Pelodiscus sinensis: one gene and its partners. The protein of the gene in region 3 purifies or fractionates together with the protein of the main gene of each other region. This does not show direct contact. Links are inferred from orthologs where the notes say so. Each region holds a gene or a part of one and is shown on either strand. Other genes may lie near its edges.

Evidence for each region.
Region 1: the proteins of NOP56 (region 3) and BRIX1 purify together in Homo sapiens (affinity purification with mass spectrometry; 3 studies listed by BioGRID and IntAct, with this or other methods). This does not show direct contact. The link is inferred for Pelodiscus sinensis from reciprocal best matches to the Homo sapiens genes NOP56 and BRIX1.
Region 2: the proteins of NOP56 (region 3) and FBL purify together in Homo sapiens (affinity purification with mass spectrometry; 6 studies listed by BioGRID and IntAct, counting the BioPlex papers as one, with this or other methods). This does not show direct contact. The link is inferred for Pelodiscus sinensis from reciprocal best matches to the Homo sapiens genes NOP56 and FBL.

The regions. Positions count from the first base shown.
Region 1 is NC_134716.1:107,060,449-107,067,911, forward strand, and holds the start of BRIX1 (ribosome biogenesis protein BRX1 homolog), read right to left. Parts: upstream 3,001-7,463; 5' UTR 2,973-3,000; coding exon 2,817-2,972; intron 862-2,816; coding exon 750-861; intron 1-749. Other genes in the region: cell cycle checkpoint protein RAD1, read left to right, coding at 3,657-3,851. UniProt on the Homo sapiens protein: Required for biogenesis of the 60S ribosomal subunit.
Region 2 is NC_134734.1:4,829,729-4,836,943, forward strand, and holds the start of FBL (rRNA 2'-O-methyltransferase fibrillarin), read right to left. Parts: upstream 3,001-7,215; 5' UTR 2,935-3,000; coding exon 2,925-2,934; intron 1,783-2,924; coding exon 1,708-1,782; intron 1,283-1,707; coding exon 1,106-1,282; intron 768-1,105; coding exon 673-767; intron 443-672; coding exon 272-442; intron 79-271; coding exon 1-78.
Region 3 is NW_027465891.1:299,461-307,203, reverse strand, and holds the start of NOP56 (nucleolar protein 56), read left to right. Parts: upstream 1-4,741; 5' UTR 4,742-4,841; coding exon 4,842-4,844; intron 4,845-5,370; coding exon 5,371-5,460; intron 5,461-6,682; coding exon 6,683-6,797; intron 6,798-6,930; coding exon 6,931-7,092; intron 7,093-7,299; coding exon 7,300-7,498; intron 7,499-7,550; exon of another isoform or gene 7,551-7,686; intron 7,687-7,743. UniProt on the Homo sapiens protein: Involved in the early to middle stages of 60S ribosomal subunit biogenesis. Required for the biogenesis of box C/D snoRNAs such U3, U8 and U14 snoRNAs. Part of the small subunit (SSU) processome, first precursor of the small eukaryotic ribosomal subunit.

The DNA.
Region 1 (7,463 bases), on a different chromosome or scaffold from region 3:
CTACAGAACACAAGTCACCAAAATAGAAAATCAACCTCCTGCATCTAAATGAGATGATGAAAATGAAGATGCATCACTTTGCACTTCTTGGAAAGTTATCAAACAGAATCATCAGCATGCATGCATGTCTTCTGGAATGATAGTCGAAGCATAAAGAGACATGAATCTCTAGCGTATCTGGCACATTAGTATCTAACAATGCCAGCTACAACAATGCCACGTTACAGTTTATTCTTACATTTAGGTGAAATTGTAAATAAGCAGGCAGCAAACTCTCATATAAATGTAAACAAACTTGTTTCTCTTAGCAAGTGGCTGGAAAAGAATTGGGATTGAGCAGACTTTATTGTTTTATTTTTGAATGCAGGGGTTTTTGCATGTAATTCTATACTTGTAAGTTCAACTTTCATGATAAAGAGAATGTACTGCAGTAGTCGTATTAGGTGAATTGAAAATATTTTTAATCAAAAATATAAAATGAGCACTATACACGTTGTATTCTGTGTTATTACAGAAATAAATATATTTAAAAATGTAAAAAAATCCAAACTATTTAAATGATATTCTATTATTAACATCATGATTGATCATGATTAATTTTTTAATCACTTGACAACCTAAATCTTAGAGTCCAACAGATATTCTGTGTAGCATAATGGAATAATGTCAATAACAGACAGTAGTTTACTAAAACACTCTAGCCAAAAACAGTGACAGAGTTAGATAAAAGCAGTACCTATCGACCCTACCTGCTTTAGAGTGGGGCATCAATGTTCTCAAGTCTTGCATTAGATGTCTTGTTCTGAAATTTATTCCTCTAGAAGAGAAAATAAGCACCCGCTCTTTGTTTTTCCATTTACCCTAAAAGAAACACAAAGGTGAAAAAAAATTTTAATCTTCAACTTTTTAAAATCAAAGTTAATATTTAATCAAGATATTTGTGATTTTTTTAAAACTGTATTTGTGCAAAAGTTTTCAATTAAAATAAAGTGCTGTCTTTCCAACAGGCTGCATATATAAATGTTAACGTGATCAATTTTGATCTTCCACACTTAACTACTTAATTCCTACACAAAAAAATCCTAATCAATTCAACGTTTTCAGTGTCAATATTTGAGGATGGTCACATAAAATTTCCCCTCTTAGGGTGTGATTAACTTCATGTAACAGGATGTACCTGCTTGCAGACAGAAAGGGTAAATACCATGAAATCTGTGTTTTCTCATTTAAACAATAACAATGAGGGTTAGGGATGGGACAGGAATCTAGACTGATAGAAAACATATCTAAATATAGCAAAATGACATTAAGTACATGAAAGTTAAACTGCATACAGTGGTAGTACAGAAGTGTTTATGTTATCTAATTTTAAGGTGAAGAATGAGTGAAGAATTAAGGTCAAGTCTATAGTACAGAAAGTTGGTTTAAGGTACGCAATCCCAGCTACATAAACAACATAGCTGGAGTTGACGTACATTAAGCTGAACTTTGGTGCCATTCCCACAGCAGGAAGTCCATGGGTGAAACACACTTATTGACTTTCCATACTCCTTGTGAAAGTGAGGAGTAACAGCACTGATGGGGAGAAGGGTGCCCTCAGAGCTTATTGGAGAGTGGGGTTGGGGCGCTCTTGACAAGAAACTTGGCTGGGGTACAGGTGCTTGTCCCACTCCCTGTAAGGAGCACCTGACAGGGCAGAACAGGATAAGCACTCTTGCCCCAGCCACACTCCTCAGCAGGAGCATTCCAACGCCGCTCCAAATATTTGTTCTAATGACGACGGTTATAAAATTCAGATTGATGTTTACAATAATATGGTTGGTGTGCCCATTTTATTAAGCCATAGGCCACACATACACCCAGATGCGCCTCTTCAGAGCAAGCGCTGAGAGATGGTTTGCTGCTGTTGACCGATGCAGATCAGATACACATTGTTTCTAGTCAATGTTGGTCAGATGTGGATCCACATGTTTATATCCACACAGGGCTGTACTCATATGAAGAGTATGGGTGACTACACAGATCAAGACAACACCTATCTCTGTGGAGATCAGTGCTCTGCTCTAGGGATGTTAAGGACTAGTCAACTAGTTAAATGCTTATCAGATAGTCAACAGGATAGCTGACTAGTCGTTTCCCTCCCTTGCTGCCTCTATCAGAGAGGCAGCAAGGTGTGTGTGTGGGGGGGGGGGGGGGGGAGAAGATGGGGTAATTCAAATCAGCAATGCCGTACGGAGCACTGCCCCTTTGAAATGCCTTGTGCAGCCTTTCAAAGGGGAAGTGCAGCACAAAGACCAGGATCAGCTGGGGATTCCCCAGATAACCCCGGGCTCCATGAAGTGCAGCCCCTTTGAAAGGCTTCATGCAGTACTAATCGAATAGTGCAAAAGCGCATCCAAAGTGCATCAACTATTTGATTAGTCAATTACATGCTACTTAACATCCTTACTCTGCTCCCTTCCACGCTAAGCAGGGGGCGGCCCTCTGAGACTATGGATGACTTACAGGGAAGACAAGTGTTTTTTTAAATAAGGCAATATCGCTAAAAAAAGGACTGAGGCAGATGCTTCCCTTAAGCGGCCTCCTCCGCCCCGCTACATCCCAACAGGCCAGACAAAGCCAGACCAGACCCTTCCCGCAGCGGGACCGGCGAGCTAAGGTGACCTTGTTCCCACCCCCAAGAACGAGAACACAAGCGATGGCTCCCCAGCCTCTCAGCCCAGGCGCCGCATGGAGACAGGCCGGACTGTGCCAATACTCTCGGGGAAAGGGGTGCACAGGCCTCGGGCAGAAGCGGGACCAGCCGCTCTCTCTACCTTGCAGACAGGAGCCGGGATGCTGTGCTCCTCCCTCTCCGCTCCCTGCGGGCCCCGCTTGGCCCACGGCCCGCTGCCATCGGGAGCCCCCCTGGCTCGCTTCTTGGGCCGCGCCGCAGCCCCTCCACGCTTCCTCTTGGCCGCCGCCATCTTCATTACACGTGACGCGTCCGTCACCCGGAAGCTGCTCTGCTCTTCCGCCCCTCGCTCTATGGTCAGCGCCGCCGCGCTGCCCGGCTCTGGGCGGCCTTCGTGTTACGACAGCCGTAAGGCACGGCGGCGAGCGCCGCCTCGTAGGGAATAGGTAGGATCCGGGTGCGGCTTCTCCCCATCCCCGCTCGGCCCGGGGCCGCCGGCTCCCCAGCGCGGGCCCGTTGGCCTGCGAGCGCCTCGTGCAACGGGACCGTCCGTGTCGCCCAAGCTGGGGCGCCGCCGGCTGGGAGCCGCGTGGGGCGCTCTGCCCTGCAGCGCCCGGGACACGGGCCTTGGCTCGGCGGGCTGCAGCGCCAGTGGACGGGGCGCGTGGTAGCCAGCGACCGGCGCGGCCTGGGGCCGCTGTTCCTCCGCCGCTTTCATTGCACTGAACTCCAGCCCCTCTCGCGGGCAGCAGCAATAGCGACACGTTTACACTTGTACCGTCTGGTCACTTTCACCACCGCATTGCTGCCGGGGCGTCATCGCAGCTGCCAGCCGGGCAGCCGTTCCCGCCTGTCCTTGACCACCAGCGGGTTAGAGTAACAGAAGTATGTGACCTCTGTTTTAGGTTCTCTTTGACACTGCCCCTGCAGGCCTCACATATACGGTCACAGGGAAGATTGGAGTGGTGAATGCAAACGAATAATGCCCCTCTCTACTCAGCTGGAAACTGCCGATGATCAGTATGTTTTAGTCGCCAGTCTTGACAATGTCAGAAACCTCTCGAATATCCTAAAAGCGATTCATTTTAAAGACTATGCAACGTGTTTTGCAACTAGAAATGGAATCAAGGTAACAGTGGAAAATGCAAAATGTGTGCAGGCAAATGCCTTTATTCAGGTAAGGAGCCCAGCACATCATCAGACCATTAATATATCTGTCATCAGTCTTTCACGTGTTTAAAATTACAGTTTTTTTCCCTTTTTCTTGCACTTGGTAGTGGCTTTCCCAATGGACATAATCCAGTCAAACAAAAAACAAAAAGATGAGACCAGTGGATGCAAGGCATTAGATATCTCAGTTCTAGACTTGCAATAGTGTAGATGTTGATAGTATTCAGAAATGCTGGAGTTAAATTCTTAATGTATCAGAGATGGAAATGTTTTGCTATTTTATTATTGTTACTAGCAGACTTACTCAGCATTGATTGCCTACATCTGATGTGGGTGGGGGTGTGGTGGGGAATGATGACCCTGTGTGGGCTGGAGTTGGAGGGGAGGGGCAGCTCAGTGCTTGCCAGGGGGCCTGGGCCAGGGACATGGGAAGGCCCAGACCAGGGTTTGGGAAGTGGGGGCAGGGTGATGGGTGCATGAAGGTCTCTCCCAGGCTGCTGGGGGTCCTATGGGGCAGCTGGGGTTGGGTTGGCCAGCCCCGATGGTACGGCAGGTGGAGGGGTTTTAGACAGGGAGGCCACTTACAATTGGCAGCTAAGGTGGTAGAGTCCCATCCTCAGCTGGTCACTCTTGCTAGTGTGGCTGCCCTCATTGATCACTCTGCAGGATAGCTCTCCTGTGGGCTCACTACCCCCCAGTAGTGAGTGTGAGGATCTCTCCTCTCTGCTCCCCTCCCTTTCCATGTAATGGAAAACTATCAAATTCTAGGCACATCTCATTTTCTTGGCACAACCAAACCCTGAATTTGCCCAGGTTTATCCGTTAATTCTAGCCCATGGAGCTGTTTGCCCACCATGAAAGGCAGCAGCAGGAGGAGGGGGTAGGCGGGAGCTGATGCTTGCAGACAGCCGGCTCCCCGTGAGCACCAGCTCCCTCCTGCCTACCCACCCTCCATGTGTTAACATATAACCACTAAAAATTTCAGCAGTCACATGCTTACACAAATACACAGTTTTTAACATCCTTACTACACACCAAATTTGGTGGCCCTAGCTCTTACCATTTAGGAGGAGTTTGTGAACAAATGGACTGACACGCACATGCACTTTAAAAAATATAGATAGATAGCATGTGAGAGGATCACCATTATTTTTGCATTGAGTCTTGTATTAGCACATAGTATGAAGCCACTGTGAGATGAGAGAGCATTAAATAAGCCAGGGAAAGTATGAGAGAGACTAGAATTATCTAGAACAAAAAACAGGACTATGTAGCACTTTAAAGACTAACAAGATGGTTTATTAGGTGGGCCAGACCCACTTCCTTAGATCAAATACTGTAGTGGAAGAATATTGTCACAACCATCTATACCAAAGCATACAATTAAAAAAATGAACACATCTGAAATTTGATTTGTCCTTTTCACATGTGTGCATTTTTTAAAATTGTATCCTTTGGTATATATGGTTGTGACAATTTTCTTCCACTATTTGATCTGAGGAAGTGGCTCTGGCCCACGAAAGCTCATCACCTAATAAACCATCTTGTTAGTCTTTAAAATGCTACATAGTCCTGTTTTTTGTCCCAGCTACACCAGACTAACACGGCTACATTTCTGTCTCTACAATTATCTAGGAATGGAAACAAAGTATTTGACAGAAGGACTGTTGGAGAGAATAAGGAATGGCATGCAGTTTATTTTAGGTGCTGGAGAGGAAGTATCAAAATGGTAGGAATAAGGTGGAGAATCTGACCCAGCGAGTGCCATGCAATACTGCTGGATGTTAGTTAGAGGTGGAAAAAGACCTTGTAGGTCAGGGAAGAGCAAAATAAGGCCTGCAGGCTGGATGCAGCTTAACAAACCACTGGATGCAGCCCATGGACACAGCAAAGAGCCTCACACAGGCTCCCTGCCTGCCCCTCTTCCGTACGTTGCTCAGAAAAGTGACTTGTCGGGCCATTTGTCTGGGGAGGGGAAGAGGTTCCATGTGCTGCCCCTGCCCCTACCACAATTCCAATGGTCGGTTTCTGGCCAATGGGACCTGCCTGTTTGAAGCACAGCAGCATGCAAAGTACCTCTCCTCTCCAGCTCTTAGCTGTACACACATACAAATGACCCTGCACCCATATGCTACTTAACACAAACCCTCTGCCCTCCCTCCTGTACCACTCTAGGTCACAACCCAAACTCCTGTACCCCAGTCCCCTGCCCCATGTCGCAACCCCCTCCTGCCATGGGTCACAATCCAAACCCTTGCACCCCCTCTTGTACCTCAGGTCACAACTGCCACCTTCACATAAACTCCCTCCCAAAGCTCGCAACCCCTCATGCACCCCAATCACTTCAAGCTCTCTTCTGCATCCAGCCTCATAAGAATGGCCATACTGGTTCAGACCAAAGGTCCATCTAGCCCAGTATCCTGTCTTCCGACAATGGCCAGTACCAGGTACCCCAGAAGGGGTGGACCGAAGACAATGATCAAGCAGTTAGTCTCCTGTCATCCTTCTCCAGCCTTTGACAAACAGAGGCCAGGGTCACCATTCCTTACCCCCTAGCTAGTATCCTTTTATGGACCTAACCTCCATGAATTTAGCTAGCTCTTTTTTAAAACTCTGTTATAGTCCTAACCTTCCCAGCCTCCTCTGGCAAGGAGTTCCACAGGTTGACTGTGCACTGTGTGAAGAACAACCTCCATCCCAGATCCCACACCTCCTCCATTAATATAATGGAAAAGTCCTACCCTTGACCATTTTCTATATTCTTGGAGTGGACCCCATCAAAAATTATTGCCCACCCCTGTGTAGGTCATTATGTGCAGCCTCAAAGGCCAGTGCTGGATTGCTCATTATGGATATATTCTTCACATCAGACAAAGCTATGAATATAGATGGATCATATTAATGATCCAATCACTTCCCTAATGGAAGACAGTTCTACAGTTGACTAAATATCACTTTTTGAAAACTTTTTACTAATATTCAGCCTTATTTCCCTTTCCCTAATACCATCCCATTATTTGCATTTATGCATCATCTTCCATTTCAGGATCTCAAAATTTTCTGCATTCAGATATCATCCATCTTTTAAGGAGTTCACTGTTGTCTTAAGTTATCAAGCAATTACTGTAGTGAGCCCTACTGTACTGAGTTCACTCCTCTTGACATACATCTCGTTGCATCTCTCCTGACCCCTAAACAATACTTTAAATTATTTTTTCTCAACATGTGTTTAATATGATTACTATTGACACTTACCCTTTTCAGATATCTCTAATAACGTTTCGTGTAATTAAATCTATCCCTCCAAATAAGGTGTAGGGATAATTAAAAAAAGAACCACAAAGGGAATTGAAGGGAGCAAAAAGAAAATTAGCTCTTTCTGTAGTCTTAAATTTTTACCTACTTGCTTGGTTTTATTTTTTTGATTTTTAAGAAGTCATATTTTGTTTAATGAGTTCACTTATTTCTGCTGCTGCTTGTTTACTTGACTGTTAGATTAAGAGCTCCTCAAGGCAAAAATTGTGCTGTCTTCTGTTTTTGGAAGCACTTATCATCCAAGGCATACTGGAAATGACAAGTTGTGTTTTTTAAGTTGTATAGTAGTGCACTGAACATCTGC
Region 2 (7,215 bases), on a different chromosome or scaffold from region 3:
GTTGGTGCGTTTCTTCGCCACATTGATGAGGTCACGGCCGGAGCGATGGGAGAACTCCACAGCATAGACCAGGCCTTCCTGGGTGGGGTAAAAAACCATGGTCAGCCATCTCCCCCAAGGGCAGAGCAGCTTTTCTTCCCATTCTCCCCTCCCCCCACAATGCAATCAGGCACTGCCTTCTCTCAGCACAGCTGAGTCATACTCACTAGACACTTCGTCCCTGCCCCCACCCCCATCCTCTTCAGACCCAGGCCCAACAGCAGCTCCTTACCGGCCCCACGATGTCGGAGACATGTGAGACTGTGGTTCCAGAAGCAGCTCCCAGGTACAGGACCTTGGCTCCCGGCTTGATGTGGATTTGATCAATGCCACCTAGGATGGCTGCTGCCAGCTTGGAGCGGAAAGGGTTCCAGGCACGGTACTCTATCTTCAGCTCACCGTCCTGCAGAGAGAGCAGCAGGGTCAAAGCTCAGCTCAGCTCCCCCGGGGCTGTTAACTGGCTGCGAGCATGCTCCACTGTGGCAGTCGCCCCAACCCTAATACCCTTCCTGCTGGGGTAGTGTCCCTCTAGAAACATGGGAGCTGCCTTAACAGGCTGGCACCATCCCACCCCTGAGTCCTGGGGCAGCCAGTGCTGCCCAGAATTTCCCCCATTACCACAAGGCCGCCTACCTCCACAGAGATCCTCTTCTCTCCATACACAGACTCGCCGGGCACCAGATTCTTCGTCACCAGCGCATCCTCCTTCCCCCTGCAGATGAAGACGCCTGGGTGGAAGGAGGAAACGGATGGGAAGCTGTCAGAACAGGGACAACCCTCTTCCCAAGTCTAAGGAGAGCAGGGGGAACATTCCCTGCTATGGGAAGGAGTCAATTGCCCTTGCAAATCATAAAGGGATCACAGCAGGGCTGCCAAGCCATGGATCAGCCATGTAACCTCCCATACACAGTGCCTCCAACACTGGATAGCAATCCACCCCAGCTGTGCCCTGATCAATCCAACATCTAGCAGTGAATCCCAGCGCTGTCCAGTCCAGGCAGACCACCTTGGCCACAACACCTCACTGCTCCCAGGAGACAGCACTATTTTGTCCCATGCTGGTTACCTTCATGCCTGTGGGGCTCCACCGTCACCTTCTTGCCTCCTTTAAACCCTCCTCGGCCGCCCCGGCCTCCTCCACCGCGGCCTCCTCGGCCTGGCCCGCCTCGTCCACGGAAACCACCGCCACCTCCTCTTCCTCGGAAGCCTCCATCACTCCCACCCGGAGATTTAAACCCACCACCTACAAGGGAGAGAAGAGATGGAGTAGAAGCACATTGGCCCTGTGCCATTGTCCCCGCCCTGCATGGAAAGCAGAGGGGCAGAGCAGCTGTTCACTTTGGGACAAGATATGAAGGCGGGGATCCAGTGTCCCTGAGATCACGAGGGGAAATAACCCAGGCAGGGGTTGGACCATGGCACACTGATGGAGCTGGGACAGGATGTGCTGTCCACACAGCAACACAGCCCAAAGTCAATGGCCACTGAACTGAGGTGCGGTGGGAGCAAAATTCTCCCAGTATTCACTGGACAGGAAGGTCTCCAACAGTGGGTGTTGCCTGGGACCGAGGGGAGAGGGGGAGGTGCAGCACACAGGTGCTCAGTCGTAACCACAAAGCCCTCCCCTCCCCAACACAGCGATGCCACTGGGGCACAGAGAGCACTTACCTCGGCCTCCTCGGAAGCCCCCTCGGCCTCTTCCACGGTCCCCAAACCCACCGCGCCCTCCACGGGGACTGAAACCTGCAACCAGGAGAGAGTTAGAGACCACACCCCACCATGACCCTCCACCCACACCATAGAGAGAGAGAGCGGCCTGAACCCGAACACCACTCCCCACCATTGCTCTCCCACCATGGATACAGCCCCACCCCATATCCTTCCTGGTCACCCCATCCCCTTGAATTGATTAACTGGTTAAACATAGGTAAACCAATTAAACGGGGGCAGTGGGAGGGCCTGCCACAGGGCTGGACCTAGAGAAGTAAGGGATCAGTCTATTAGTCAACCAGGGAGTTAACTATTCACATTCCGCTGGCTTAAAAGCCGATTCTCCCCAGCACGGTCTCCGCGGAGGTAGGGGCAGGGGCTTCTGCCGGCTGGGCAGGCAGCCCAGCTCAGCCCCAGTTCACCTCACTGTGTCTTTGCAATTGAAAATGCAGTAGGAATTAGGCAACCTGCCCCCAAGCTCCTACCGCCTTTAAACTGCAGAGACACAGCGGGATTTGGTCCCAACCCTGTACAAACCGGGACTGAGCCAGCTGCCTATTGACTAATCGAGTAGTCGATAGAATTTTTATCGACTACTCAACTGGTTAAATACCCGCTTCTTAACATCCCGAGCTAGAGCAGCCCCCACCATCCCCTGCCCGGGAGGCAGGGACTGCTCCAGCCTGGCCTGCGCAGCCCCCCCTGGTTAACCTTAACTGGTTAAACCTTCACCTCCCTTGTCCCCACCCCAGCACGCTGCTAGCCCGCCTCCCACCTGCCTTTCCACGTCCCTCTATCCCCACTGTCTGCACCTTCTCGGGTGCGCCCCAAAACCTCCACCCACCAGCCCCCATCTAACAGTAAAACCCAAACACGCGCCCCCATCCCACTACCCCCCCAGGCTCCTGTGCAGACACGAGCCCCCCGCAGGGGCACAGAGACCCCCCCCCCTTCCCGCACCTGGACACCCCCCTGGGCCACGCGACCCCCCGCAGCCCGGGCCACGTGACTGCTCCCCACTAAGCACCCCCAGCCCCGGACCCCCCCCCGGGGTCACGGCCCCGCACTGACCTTGTCCCCCCCCCCCGGGGTCATGCCCCCCCAACTGACCCGTCCCCCGGGACACGGCCCCCACTGACTGCCCCTCCCCGCACACGTGGGCCAGCCGCGCTCACCCGGCCTCATGCTACTCGCCCAACGCCGCGAGCCGCCTCACTGCGCAGACACCAGCACCCTGGCCACTGCGCACGCGCAACTCTGCTCCGCCAAGAGCCGCCGCTGCGCATGCCCACAATAACCCCGCTTTCCCCATCTCCGCCAGAAGGAGGCACCACGGGAAATGTAGTCTCCGCTGCCAGCACATGCGCACAACAACGGAGCCGCTGCAAAAAGAGAGCGCTGCGCATGCGTGTAGTACTCCCCCGGCCCATCCCTGGCCCCGGTGTTAGGTCCCCTCCCGCACCAGGACTGTTGAGGCCAAGTGAGTCCACATCAACACATGGCTGATGAGGGCTGGGTGCAGCTGCTGGGATGGGGGAGCCCTGCAGCATACTAGCCTGTTAACCTGTGGAACTCCTTGCCACTGTGACCCAAAAAAGGCATGGATGACTTCTTTGGCTATTAGCCAAGAGAGCCAGGGATGTGACGCCCATGCTTTGGGCTTCCCTAAACCTCTGCCTGCCAGAAATAGAGAGGCAGGGGGGCGGGACTGGCAGAAAGTAAAATTTTGTGAAATAACCATTCTGAAATTTTGCATAAAAATAAAATTATTTCCTATAAAACAAAAATGTTGAAATTTTGTGCTGGAAATAATTCCCTTACTCTCAAAAAAATTAAATATTTTCCATGAAAAAATTCTGACATGTCCTGTTGATTTATTTTCTGCAAAACACAGGTTTCAAATATTTGATTGCAAAACATTTTAAAAAGTAAACAAAAATTTATCCTAAAACCAGGGCTACTCAATTTAGGAAGCCCCAGGGTCCACAATGATACTCACAGCACATGCCAAGGGCCGTGACTTAAGTGTGGTTGCATATACATGCACATTTATATGCAAATATATGCAAATAGCTTCTTTCACACTGACCTGCATGAATACAAAGATAAAACCTCAAGCCACCATGGGCCAGTGTGAGCCAGTCAGCACCTGTCAGGCTCTGTCCACAAGGCTAAGCAGCCAGCACTTCCCACAATGCCCCAGCACTCCTGGCACCTCTTCCCTGGGGGCTAGAAATGCCGACACCCTGTACCGGTCTGTTCCAGCCAGCCCGTCTGCCTGCGTCTTTCAATGCTCACCCCGTCTGAGAAATGCTCACCGCTGTGAAGCATAAGTGGTGAGGAGTCCTGTGGCACCTTATAGACTAACCGAAGTGTTGGAGCATAAGCTTTCGTGGGCAAAGACCCACTTCATCAGATGCATGTAGTGGAAATTTCCAGAGGCAGGTATAAATATGCAGGCCAGAATCAGACTAGAGATGACGAGGTGGATTCAATCAGGGAGGATGAGGCCCACTTTCAGTAGCTGATTTGGAGGTGTAAATAGCAAGAGAGGAGAAGCTGCTTTTGTAGTTAGCAAGCCATTCACAGTCTTTGTTTAATTCAGAGTTGATTGTGTCAAACTTGAAGATGAACTGTAGCTCAGCAGTTTCTCTTTGAAGTCTGGTCTTGAAGTTTTTTTGCTGCAGGATGGCTACCTTTAGTTCTGCAATTGTGTGTTCAGGGAGATTGAAGTGTTCCCCTACAGGTTTTTGTATGTTGCCATTCCTAATATCTGATTTTTGTCCATTTATTCTTTTACGTAGGGATTGTCCAGTTTGGCTGATATATATAGCAGAGGGGCATTGTTGGCACATGATGGCATATATTATGTTAGTAGATGAGTAGGAGAATGAACCAGTGACAGTATGGCTGATCTGGTTAGGTCCTGTGATGGTGTTGCTGGTATATATATGTGGGCAGAGTTGGCACCGAGGTTTGTTTTATGGATTGGTTCCTGAGTTAGAGTTATTATGGTGCGGTGTATAGTTGCTGGTGAGAATATGCTTCAGGTTGGCGGGTTGTCTGTGGGCAAGGACTGGCCTGCCTCCCATGGCCTGTGAAAGTGAGGGATCATTGTCCAGGATGGGTTGTAGGTCACTAATGATGGGGTCCAGATGATGAAGATGTCATTGATGTAGCGTAGGTAGAGAAGGGGCGTAAGTGGATGAGAGCTGAGGAAGCGTTGTTCCAGGTCAGCCATAAAAATGTTGGCATATTGTGGGGCCATGCGGGTGCCCATAGCAGTGCCACTGGTCTGGAGGTATATATTGTCACCAAATCTGAAATAGTTCTGTGTGAGGATAAAGTCGCAGAGCTCAGCCACCAGTTGTGCTGTGGCATCATCAGGGATACTGTTCCTGACAGCTTGTATTCCATCTATATGTGAGATGTTTGTATAGAGAGCCTCTACATCCATGGTGGCTAGGATGGTGTTTTCTGGAAGATCACCAATGCATTGTAGATTTCTCAGGAAATCAGTGGTGTTACAGAGATAGCTGGGAGTGCTGGTGGCATAGGATCTGAGTAGATAGTCCACATATCCAGACAGTCCTTCAGTGAGAGTGCCAATGCCCGAGATGAGGGGGGTCCAGGATTTCCAGGTTTGTGGATCTTGGGTAATAGATAGAACAACCCTGGTCGGGGCTCTAAGGGTGTGTCGATTTGTTCCTGTGTTTGTTTAGGGAGTGTCCTGAGCAGATGGTGCAGTTTCTTAGTGTATTCCTTAGTGGGATCTGAGGAAAGTGGTCTGTAGAATTTGGTATTGGAGAGTTGTCTGGCAGCCTCCTTTTGTAAGTCAGGCCTGTTCATGATGACAACAGCACCTCCTTTATCAGCCTCTTTGATTATAATGTCAGAGTTGTTCTGGGGGCTGTTGATGGCATTGCGTTCTGCACGACTGAGGTTACGGGGCAAGCGATGCTGGTTTTCCACAATTTCTGCCTGTGCACGTTGGCAGAAGCATTCTATGTGTAAGTGGGGGAATGGTCCCGCTATTGTGGGGAACTTTCCTGGCTTCTATACACCCCGGTGAAATGGACCAGCGAAAGGATCTGAGTCCCCACTCCCACTTCCTTTACCCCACGGCTTCCCTGATCCTGAGGGCTCCCCCTCCACTCTCCTGAGTAGCAGAGCCCTCGAAACCCCAACAAGGCTGGGCCCAGGTTTCCTGGGGCTTAATCCCCGACCTTGTAGTCACTAGGGGCAGGAGTTAGGGTGTCCCCACTCCGAGGTGCTCTCTTTACACTGCAGGCCTTCTTGGCCCAGCGATCACTTCATAAGGTTCAAAGCAAATACAATTTATTAAACATCAACTGATTAAAGAGAAAATAATAAGAAAAAATGAGAATGGTTAAATGAGAACACACAGCCCTGCTCTGTAGCACAGGGACATCAAAACAGCAGCCTGCAGAGTGTAAGGTCAGTCCACAGTCTCTTCCTTAGAGGCCCCTTAGAGGCCTTGGATGTGCTGCAGGGGGCTGCAGGCTGGACACGCTTGCTCTGGCAGTGACCACACAGCCTCAAGCTCTAAGTGGCCAGACCCCTCTCCCAGTCCAGAGCCTCTCCCCATACTTTGCAGTTCCCAGCTGCTCACCACATCCAGCTGCAGGCTGTGCTGCGTGGCCAGTCTCTAGCTTCTTGCGTTGCTTCTCTGTTCCTTTTGGCTCTCTGAGCACTGCCAGTCTGCTGCTCAACACAGGGTCTGCGCTCCTTGAGCTGTGTGTGTCTGGCTCAGCTGCTGCAAAAACTGCCCCTCAGCACACAGCTTGCTTTGCTTGGGCTGTCTCTCAGCTCCCTGTTTTTGCAGGACTTCTTCTGCACACAGCTTGCCCCCCTTGGGCAGTCTCTCAGCTCTCTGTTTGCTCAGAGAGAGCCAGAACAATCCCAGCTCACAGGGAGGACGGGGCCTGGCCTCTTGCTTTTCTCACTGGCCTGTCCAACTTGTCAATCAGGCTAAGCTGGAGTGTTGGCTGCTTTCCATTGTCTCTGGGGTCTGTCAGTCTCATGGACCCTTCCCCTGTTGACACTGGGAGCTGGCAAACTAAAAAACTCCCACAGAGTATAAGGGGCTAACAGTCCCCTTACATATGTAGTGGTCCAGACTGTCATTTCGACCCACAGGAGGTGTCCATATGGAGTTCTTCTTCTTGTGCTGTTGGTGGGAAGGTATCTGTGTGTCAGTGCACTGTTCAGTGTTGTGTTGGAAGTATTCCTTGAGATGGAGACAGCGAAAGTAGGCTTCCAGATCACCACAGAACTGTATCATGTTGTGAAGCGTGTTCCCAGTGGAGGCCATGTTCCAAGGATCCCACCCACAGGCCGGATGTTGAGCCCCATGTAAACCCAAACTGCACCAGGGGCCACAAATAAACAGGTCACAGGCCACATGTTGAGTAGCCCTGCTAAAAAAAATTCTGAAATTTCACA
Region 3 (7,743 bases):
GAGGGTTGCAGGAAGGGCTGGGAGCGGGGCAGACGGCCCAGGAGTGAGGCAAGGGCTGAGTCCGCCCTGCAGGCGAGGTGAGGGCAGGCCCTGTCTGAGGTGCGGGCGGGCTGCCCGGGGGGAGCGCAGGGCTTAGGCTGACCCGTCTGAATCCTCCGGCATCTTCCGCCCCGCGCGGCGTCACGGACACTCGCGGCATGGCCAGGCCCCGCTCCAGCGATGCCTGTGACCCAGGGGCCCTCTCAGCGACGTCTGGGGGCTCCACGCACCTGGCCCAGGTCTCTTGCACCTCGCTCTCAGCCCAGAGAGGGAGCGCGAAGCCAGCCCCCCACAGCGCACACAGGCCTGTTTGAAGGGAAAGGGGCGTTATCGGCACTAGTCAGGTCAACCCGCTCTGTACAAAGCTAACACGGTTCTCCAGGAGGCAAGTGTCATGATTATGCGGGTCAGCCAGCAGCCTGGGGATTAAGGGGTTAACTACACCTAGCCCGGTGGAGTGGCCGATAGGAATGTACGTAGGACTTTCAAACTGGGACAAAGGAATTTGGGTTTTTTCCTCCTTTGTCTCTCTGGGCCAGTCCTCTGCAGCTACATGTCTCTCGCTCTCCAAGAAACAATTCTTCACTTTCTGTAATCAGGGTGAGGGTTAGGTAGTTTCATTAGGCTTTATTGTTTTAAGGGTTGGGTCTGGGATCTGAGATCTGGCCCTGCTTAAGAGATGTTTGGCTTTTCTTTGTAACTAAGTTCTAGCCCACGGTGTAATTCCTCCATGGCTGCGTCTACACTGGCAGGATTTTCCGAAAATGCTTTTAACGGAAAAGTTTTCTATTAAAAGCATTTTCGGAAAAGCGCGTCTCGAGTGGCAGGATGCTTTTCCGCAAAAGCACTTTTTGCGGAAAAGCGTCCATGCCAATCTAGACGTGGTTTTGTGCAAGAGAGCCCCGGTCGCCATTTTCGCGGTTGGGGCTTTTTTGCGGAAAACAGTCCTGTGCTGTCTACACTGGCCCTCTTGCACAAATGATTTCGCAAGAGGGCTTTTGCCCGAACGGGAGCAGCGTAGGATTTCCGCAAGAAGCACTGATTTCTTACATGAGATCGTCTGTGTTCTTGCGGAAATTCAAGCGGCCTGTGTAGACAGCTGGCAAGTTTTTCCACAAAATCATCCAATTTTGCGGAAAAACTTGCCAGTCTAGACACAGCCCAGGAGTATATTTTGTGACCTTTCCAGCTGATCCTTATGCTCGCAACAGGAATATTGTTATAATAATAAAAGTTTTCTCTTTTCTTTTAATTAACCTGGCAGTGGTTACTGGTGTGTCCTGATTTTTATAATAGGGGTGAGATTTCCCAAATAATCTTTCCCCTAATCTTATTAATATTTGGATGGTGGCAGCGGAAGTTTTATTCCCAAAATCTAGGTTTTTAAGATTTTGGGGGAAGTTTTATGCCAAAGCCTGGTAGATAAGGCTTTGGGGTACACCTGCGGGCCCCCACTTCTGCATTGATCATGCCAGAGTGGGGAAGGCAGCAAGCTCGGTGCGTCCTTTAGGCCTTACTGAGGCTATGCATAGGGGGCTCCTGCTGACGCCTCGAAACCTCGCCCTCCCCCACGTCCAAGTACCACTGACATCCCGTTCCCAGTTTGTATTCCCTTCCCCCCACGTGCGCTGAGCTGTGAACAACCATCGGGGAAGCCGCCTGCAGAACTTGTGCTCATGGAGGGAGGGCAGAAGAGCCAATGGCAGGATGGGCCGTCTGGCGTGGATGCCACCCTGCCCCTGGGGCCCAGCACTTCACAGGAGTGACTGTCGCTCCCAGCAGCAATGCACCTGCAGGCCAGCAGCTCCGCCAGGACCCTTTGCCTACAGCCATGGACAGGTCGCTTGTTCGCGTCATCAGCTCCATTTTGGTCCTTTGGGACGGGGAGAAGCTGTTTGGAAGTGGGGGATGGGTTAGAACCTCTCCCCTGTGTAAGGGGGGCTGGGGGGCACAGGGAGCACTGGGGTGTCTGAGGGGAGGTGGGGGATGGGTTAGAACCTCTCCCCTGTGTGAGGGGGGCTGGGGGGGCACAGGGAGCACTGGGGTGTGTGAGGGGAGGTGGGGGATGGGTTAGAACCTCTCCCCTGTGTGAGGGGGGCTGGGGGGCACAGGGAGCACTGGGGTGTCTGAGGGGAGGTGGGGGATGGGTTATAACCTCTCCCCTGTGAAAGGGGGGCTGGGGGGGCACAGGGAACACTGGGGTGTCTGAGGGGAGGTGGGGGATGGGTTATAACCTCTCCCCTGTGAAAGGGGGGCTGGGGGGGCACAGGGAACACTGGGGTATCTGAGGGGAGGTGGTGGATGGGTTATAACCTCTCCCCTGTGAAAGGGGGGCTGGGGGGGCACAGGGAGCGCTGGGGTGTCTGAGGGGAGATGGGGGGATGGGTTATAACTTCTCCCCTGTGTGAGGGGGGCTGGGGGGCACAGGGAGCACTGGGGTGTCTGAGAGGAGATGGGGGATGGGTTATAACCTCTCCCCTGTGTGAGGGGGGCTGGGGGGCACAGGGAGCGCTGGGGTGTCTGAGGGGAGATGGGGGGATGGGTTATAACCTCTGACAGGTAGTGGGGGTGCAACTTTTATAATCCCGTGTTGGCTCTGCTGTGCTGTGTTCGCTGTAATTCCCGATGACTCACCGAGATGTGTGCTGGGGCCAGACACAGGAGATCATAGCCCTTGGCCTGGAAGGGAGACAGGACAGGCGGGGCTGCACCAGACTGGGGGGTAGGGCCTGTGGGAAGGGTCAGTCTCCACTGGGCTAGGATGAAAGAGGAGGCGGAGAGCAGAAAAGGGGGTGAGGGACCCCGGGAGCCCTCCTCACCATGAGAGGAATAAGGCTGCCTGCCCTGGCTCCTGGGTTACCATCGATTCTGTGCTACACTGTCCCTGGGAACCGATTAACCTTCAGTTCTACCTGCCGCCTGCGGGTCACATCTGGCTGCAGATGGGGATGCAGGGGCGGGGACCCCCGACGCGTCATCACAGTGGTGTCGGGTGGGATGGACTGCACCCCGTGGATGGAGCATCCGGCGGTTAAGTGACTGGGGCGCAGGAGAAGGAAGGGGGCTTGCAAGAGCCAGGCGTGCGGGAGGCAGAGAGAAGCGATTCCAGAAAGCCAAGGGGCAGGCAGCTTAACCCGAGCGTGACTGCAGAGAAGGAGCGTTCCTCAGGACAGGGAGTGGCCCTCAAGGAGCCGGGTGCACTGCGGGGTTCTTCCTGGGAGGCATGGGGTACTGCCACCTTGGCCAGTGTCTGCCCCGGGGAACGGCGGGGAGATGGCCTACACCTGGCTGTGCAAGGGGAGGGGCCTGCCCTTGGGGAAACTGACCAAGGGGAAGGCCCAACTAAGTGCCCAGCTGGAAGAGAATGAACTGTCTGGGGGCCTGGATCCTGCCCCAGCTGGGAGCAGCCAGACACCCCCGGGAGTGCTACAGGGGGCTGGAGTCTGGCTGACGGACACGGTGCCCTTCAGGCCACACTGCCACCAGCGGTTCGTCCCAGCTGGGCTCTCCCTCCGCGGAGCTGCACGGCTGGAGACCAAGCTGCAGCTCAAGGAATTGGAGGGTTGTATGGAACAACGGCAGCAGGAGCTGGCCATGGCAGAGCAGAGAAGCAGAGGGGCCCAGGGCTGCAGGTCCCTTTGAGAGGTTCGTGCTGTCCCAGTGTAAGGATGTATGGGACTTGAACGGGTTTCTTGACTCTTTTGAGCGAGTCTGCGAGCTGCACCAGGGCCCCCTAGCCAACTGGCTCCAGCAGCTCACCCCTTTGCTGGATCAGAAGGCCGCAGGGGTGGAAGGGCTGCAGCCCGGGGACTACGAACGGGTCAAACAGGCCCTGCTGCACAGGTTCGGGCTGACTCCCGAGACGTACAGGAAGAAGTTCCAAGGGGTGCAGAAGCACCCTGGAGAGACCTACGCAAACCTGGACTCCTGCCTGACGCACGCACCCCAACCCCAAAGCGCTGCAGTGTGCAGGGAAACTGAGGCACACCCCCCCCTCGGAGCACTGCAGTGCACAGGGAAACTGAGGCACGCACCCCCCCTCGGAGCACTGCAATGCGCAGGGAAACTGAGGCACGCACCCCCCCCTCGGAGCACTGCAGTGTGCAGGGAAACTGAGGCACGCACCCCCACCCCAAAGCGCTGCAGTGTGCAGGGAAACTGAGGCACGCACCCCCCCCCTCGGAGCACTGCAGTGTGCAGGGAAACTGAGGCCCACAGGGAGGCACAGGACAGAACCGCCGCAGCCCGACCAAGCGAGCAAGTGGGGCGAGGGAAGAGGGGGTACCCGGGGGGGGAGGGGGGGTCTGCTCTTCAGCCGAGGCCAGGCCGGACCAGGGCCCCCCCCCCCCCACGCTCCTGGCCAATGGCCGAGCAAGCCCCGCCCCCCGTCACCTCCTAGTGCGCTGCGGCGCAGCAGGAGAACGCCCCCCCGCGCATGCGTACAGAGCAGCGGAAGCCGCCCACTGCGCCGCGGAGACTGGCGGAATCCACCGCTCTCGCCATCCCATTGGCTGGTGTGGGGAAGAGGCGGGCCTAAGGACGCTCCCGCTGCCCCATTGGCTGGTGTGGGGAAGAGGCGGGCCTAAGGACGCTCCCGCTTTCCCATTGGCTGGTGTGGGGAAGAGGCGGGCCTAAGGACGCTCCCGCTGTCCCATTGGCTGGTGTGGGGAAGAGGCGGGCCTAAGGACGCTCCCGCTGCCCCATTGGCGAGTGAGGGAAAGGGGCGGTCACTGATTGGTGGAACGGCCGGTTTCCGGTTCCTGCAGGCCTCTAGCGGCCCCGTTGCGTGGGGTGGCGGCACGATGGTGAGCGGCCTGCGGGGCCCATCCGGGCCCATCCCCCCCGCGGCAGCCGGTTCGAGCCCGAGCGTGGCGGGGCTGCGTGCTGGGGGGCCTGCGGGACCCGGGGAGGCGGGGAGCCGGGCCGATGGGGGGAGGCCCGGGGAGCGTGCGGGATTGGGGGGCGGCGGGGAAGATGGGCGGGGGGCAGGTTCGGGGGGGGGGGGGCGGGAGCGGGGAGGGGACCGGGGGGAGCGGTTGGGGGGGCGGGAGCAGGGAGGGGACGGGGGGGGGCCGGTTGGGCCGGGGGCGGTGGGGGGGGAGGGGACCGGGGGGGGCGGGAGCAGGGGGGGGCGGGGGGGCCGGGGGCGGTGCGGGAGCAGGGAGGGGACCGGGGGGGGGCGGGAGCAGGGGGGGGCCGGGGGCGGTGCGGGAGCAGGGAGGGGACCGGGGGGGGCGGGAGCAGGGGGGGGGGCGGGAGCAGGGAGGGGAGCGGGGGGGGGCCGGGGGCGGTGGGGGGGTGTCCTACGCGCGCTCACGGCCCCGCTTGCAGGTGCTGCTGCACGTGCTGTTCGAGCACGCGGCCGGCTACGCGCTGTTCGTCGTGCGGGAGGTGGAGGAGATCAGCCTGCTGCTGCCCCAGGTGCGCCCTGCCGGGGGGGGGGGGGGGGTCCTGGTTTATTCTCGCCCCCGAGGGCTGTTCCCCACCGCGCTGACCTTGGGCCCGGAGCGGCTGCCTCCCTCCCTTACTCCCAATCGGGCGGTGGCTGCCCACGTGCTGGGGTGGCTCCGCAGGAGGCTCCCTGATCTGACCCTGCAGGGTTGGGGGTTCCTGCCTAGATGGATCCTTGCACCAGCGCAGCCCTACCTGTCCAGTTGTACCCGCCAGTACCCAGGACCAGCTGTGTATAGCGTGGGGCTTGCTAGGCATGGGACTGCTGCTTGGCGGTAGGCCCCTGACTGGGCTACATGTGTACGAGGGATGTGACTAGTTAACCGGTTCACTGGTACCCAAAGGGGTGTGAGCAGGCAGCAACAGCCCCAGCGTTGTGGGAGTAGGGAGCAGCAGCAGCCCCTGTGTGGCCAGGGGACCAAGCTGGAGCGGTCTCCTGGGATCTTGTGCTTGATTGGTTAAACATAGTGCTTACGGGATTAACTGATTAAGGGGGATTTTACATCCCCAGTGCGGCCGGGGGATGTGAGAGCATACCCTAACCAGCGAGCCTGGGCTGATCAGTTAATCTTCACGCCTTAAGGGCACCCCCCTTCCCCCACATGGCCACTTCTGCTACAGAGGCAGCAGCACAGAGGGGCACACGCTAGGAAGCTGCCTGCCCCGCCCCTGCTTCCTTGGGCAGTGAAGATGGCTCCGCTGGAGCCCCTGCTTGTGTGCAGCTGGATTAAGTCGGCTCCCTGCAGGCGCTGAGCCCCTCCCCCTGGTGTGTAAACGTGTAGCCGTGTTTCCGGGTTTCTTCAGAACCCCACATCTTAACGGCCCTAGTGTGAACCCAGCCAGCAGGCCTGGCTCTCTGTGGCCAGGCAGGCGGGTCGTGCTCTTGGCTCCCACCTTGTGCAGTGATGAACAGCCCAAATCTGTCAATCCACTGAAAGCGGTGATGCTGCGCTGTGTCTGAGCACAGGTGCGCAAGTGGGGGGCACTTGCAGCTGCGCTGAAGGGGGCGCTGCTGTCCGTGTTCCCGCCGGTGGAGACGGCATCCCTGCCATGCGTGTTGGGGGCTGCGGCCGTGCAGCCGGGGCTTTAGCTGCATTGTGCTCCATCAGAACCTGTGCGCGCCTGGGCCCCTGCGGGTGTGGTACCCCAGCCTGCCCTGTGTTACTCACCCGCTGCCCTGTGCCCGCCCCAGGTGGAGGAGAGCATCCTGAACATTGGCAAGTTCCACAGCATTGTCAGACTGGTGGCCTTCTCCCCGTTCCGATCCGCCCAGAGTGCCTTGGAGAACATCAACGCGGTCTCAGAAGGTGAGGCTGAGCTGGTGGCTTGCTCCCCGTCAGCCTGCGACGGGTGGCTGGGCCAGGAGCGGAGCTTGCTGCCCTCTTGCTCCCATCCATGCCCTGTGGCTCGCCATCCAATAACTCCTTCTCCCTGGGGCAGGGATCCTCCATGAGGACCTCAAGCTGCTCCTGGAGACCAACCTGCCGGCCAAGAAGAAGAAAGTGTTGCTGGGAGTCAGCGATGCCAAAATCGGGGCTGCCATCCAAGAGGAGCTGGGTTACCAGTGCCAGGCTGGCGGGGTCGTAGCAGAGATCACACGAGGTGAGGGCGTGCGCGAACGAGGCCCAGACGGCTATGTTCTGGCATGGGGATCCTAGCAGGCCCCCTAGGGATCATGTCTGGTCCAGTCCCCTGGTGCCCTGCCTGTGTGGGAGCTCAGGTGCTCACTCGGGGCTGCCCTCCTTGGCTTGTCACAGGGTGGGCGGTGTGGCTGCGAGGGGTTCCGTACTCACCAGACACTCTGTGCAGGGATCCGCCTGCACTTTCACACTCTGGTGAAGGGCCTCACTGCCCAGTCGGCCTCCAAGGCACAGCTGGGCCTGGGGCACAGCTACTCACGAGCCAAAGTGAAATTCAACGTCAACCGGGTGGACAACATGATCATCCAGTCCATCAGCCTGCTGGACCAGCTGGACAAGGACATCAACACCTTCTCCATGCGCGTCAGGTGAGGGCTGCTGCAGGGGTGCTTGCCCGGGGCTTAGCTGGAACGTGCACTGTCCCTCCCCATGCTTACCGCAGGCAGCGCGACTTCCAGCGCTGACTGCACAGAAAGGGGAGGAAGAGCATCTGCCCTGCGTACACCCCAGCCAGGGAGCCTGTGACCTGGGCTGTCTTGTTAGCAGGGAGACACGGCCGTGGGGCGGGAGGAGCTGGCGGGTCCATGCTTCCCTCCTTGACTGCTCCCCTCTG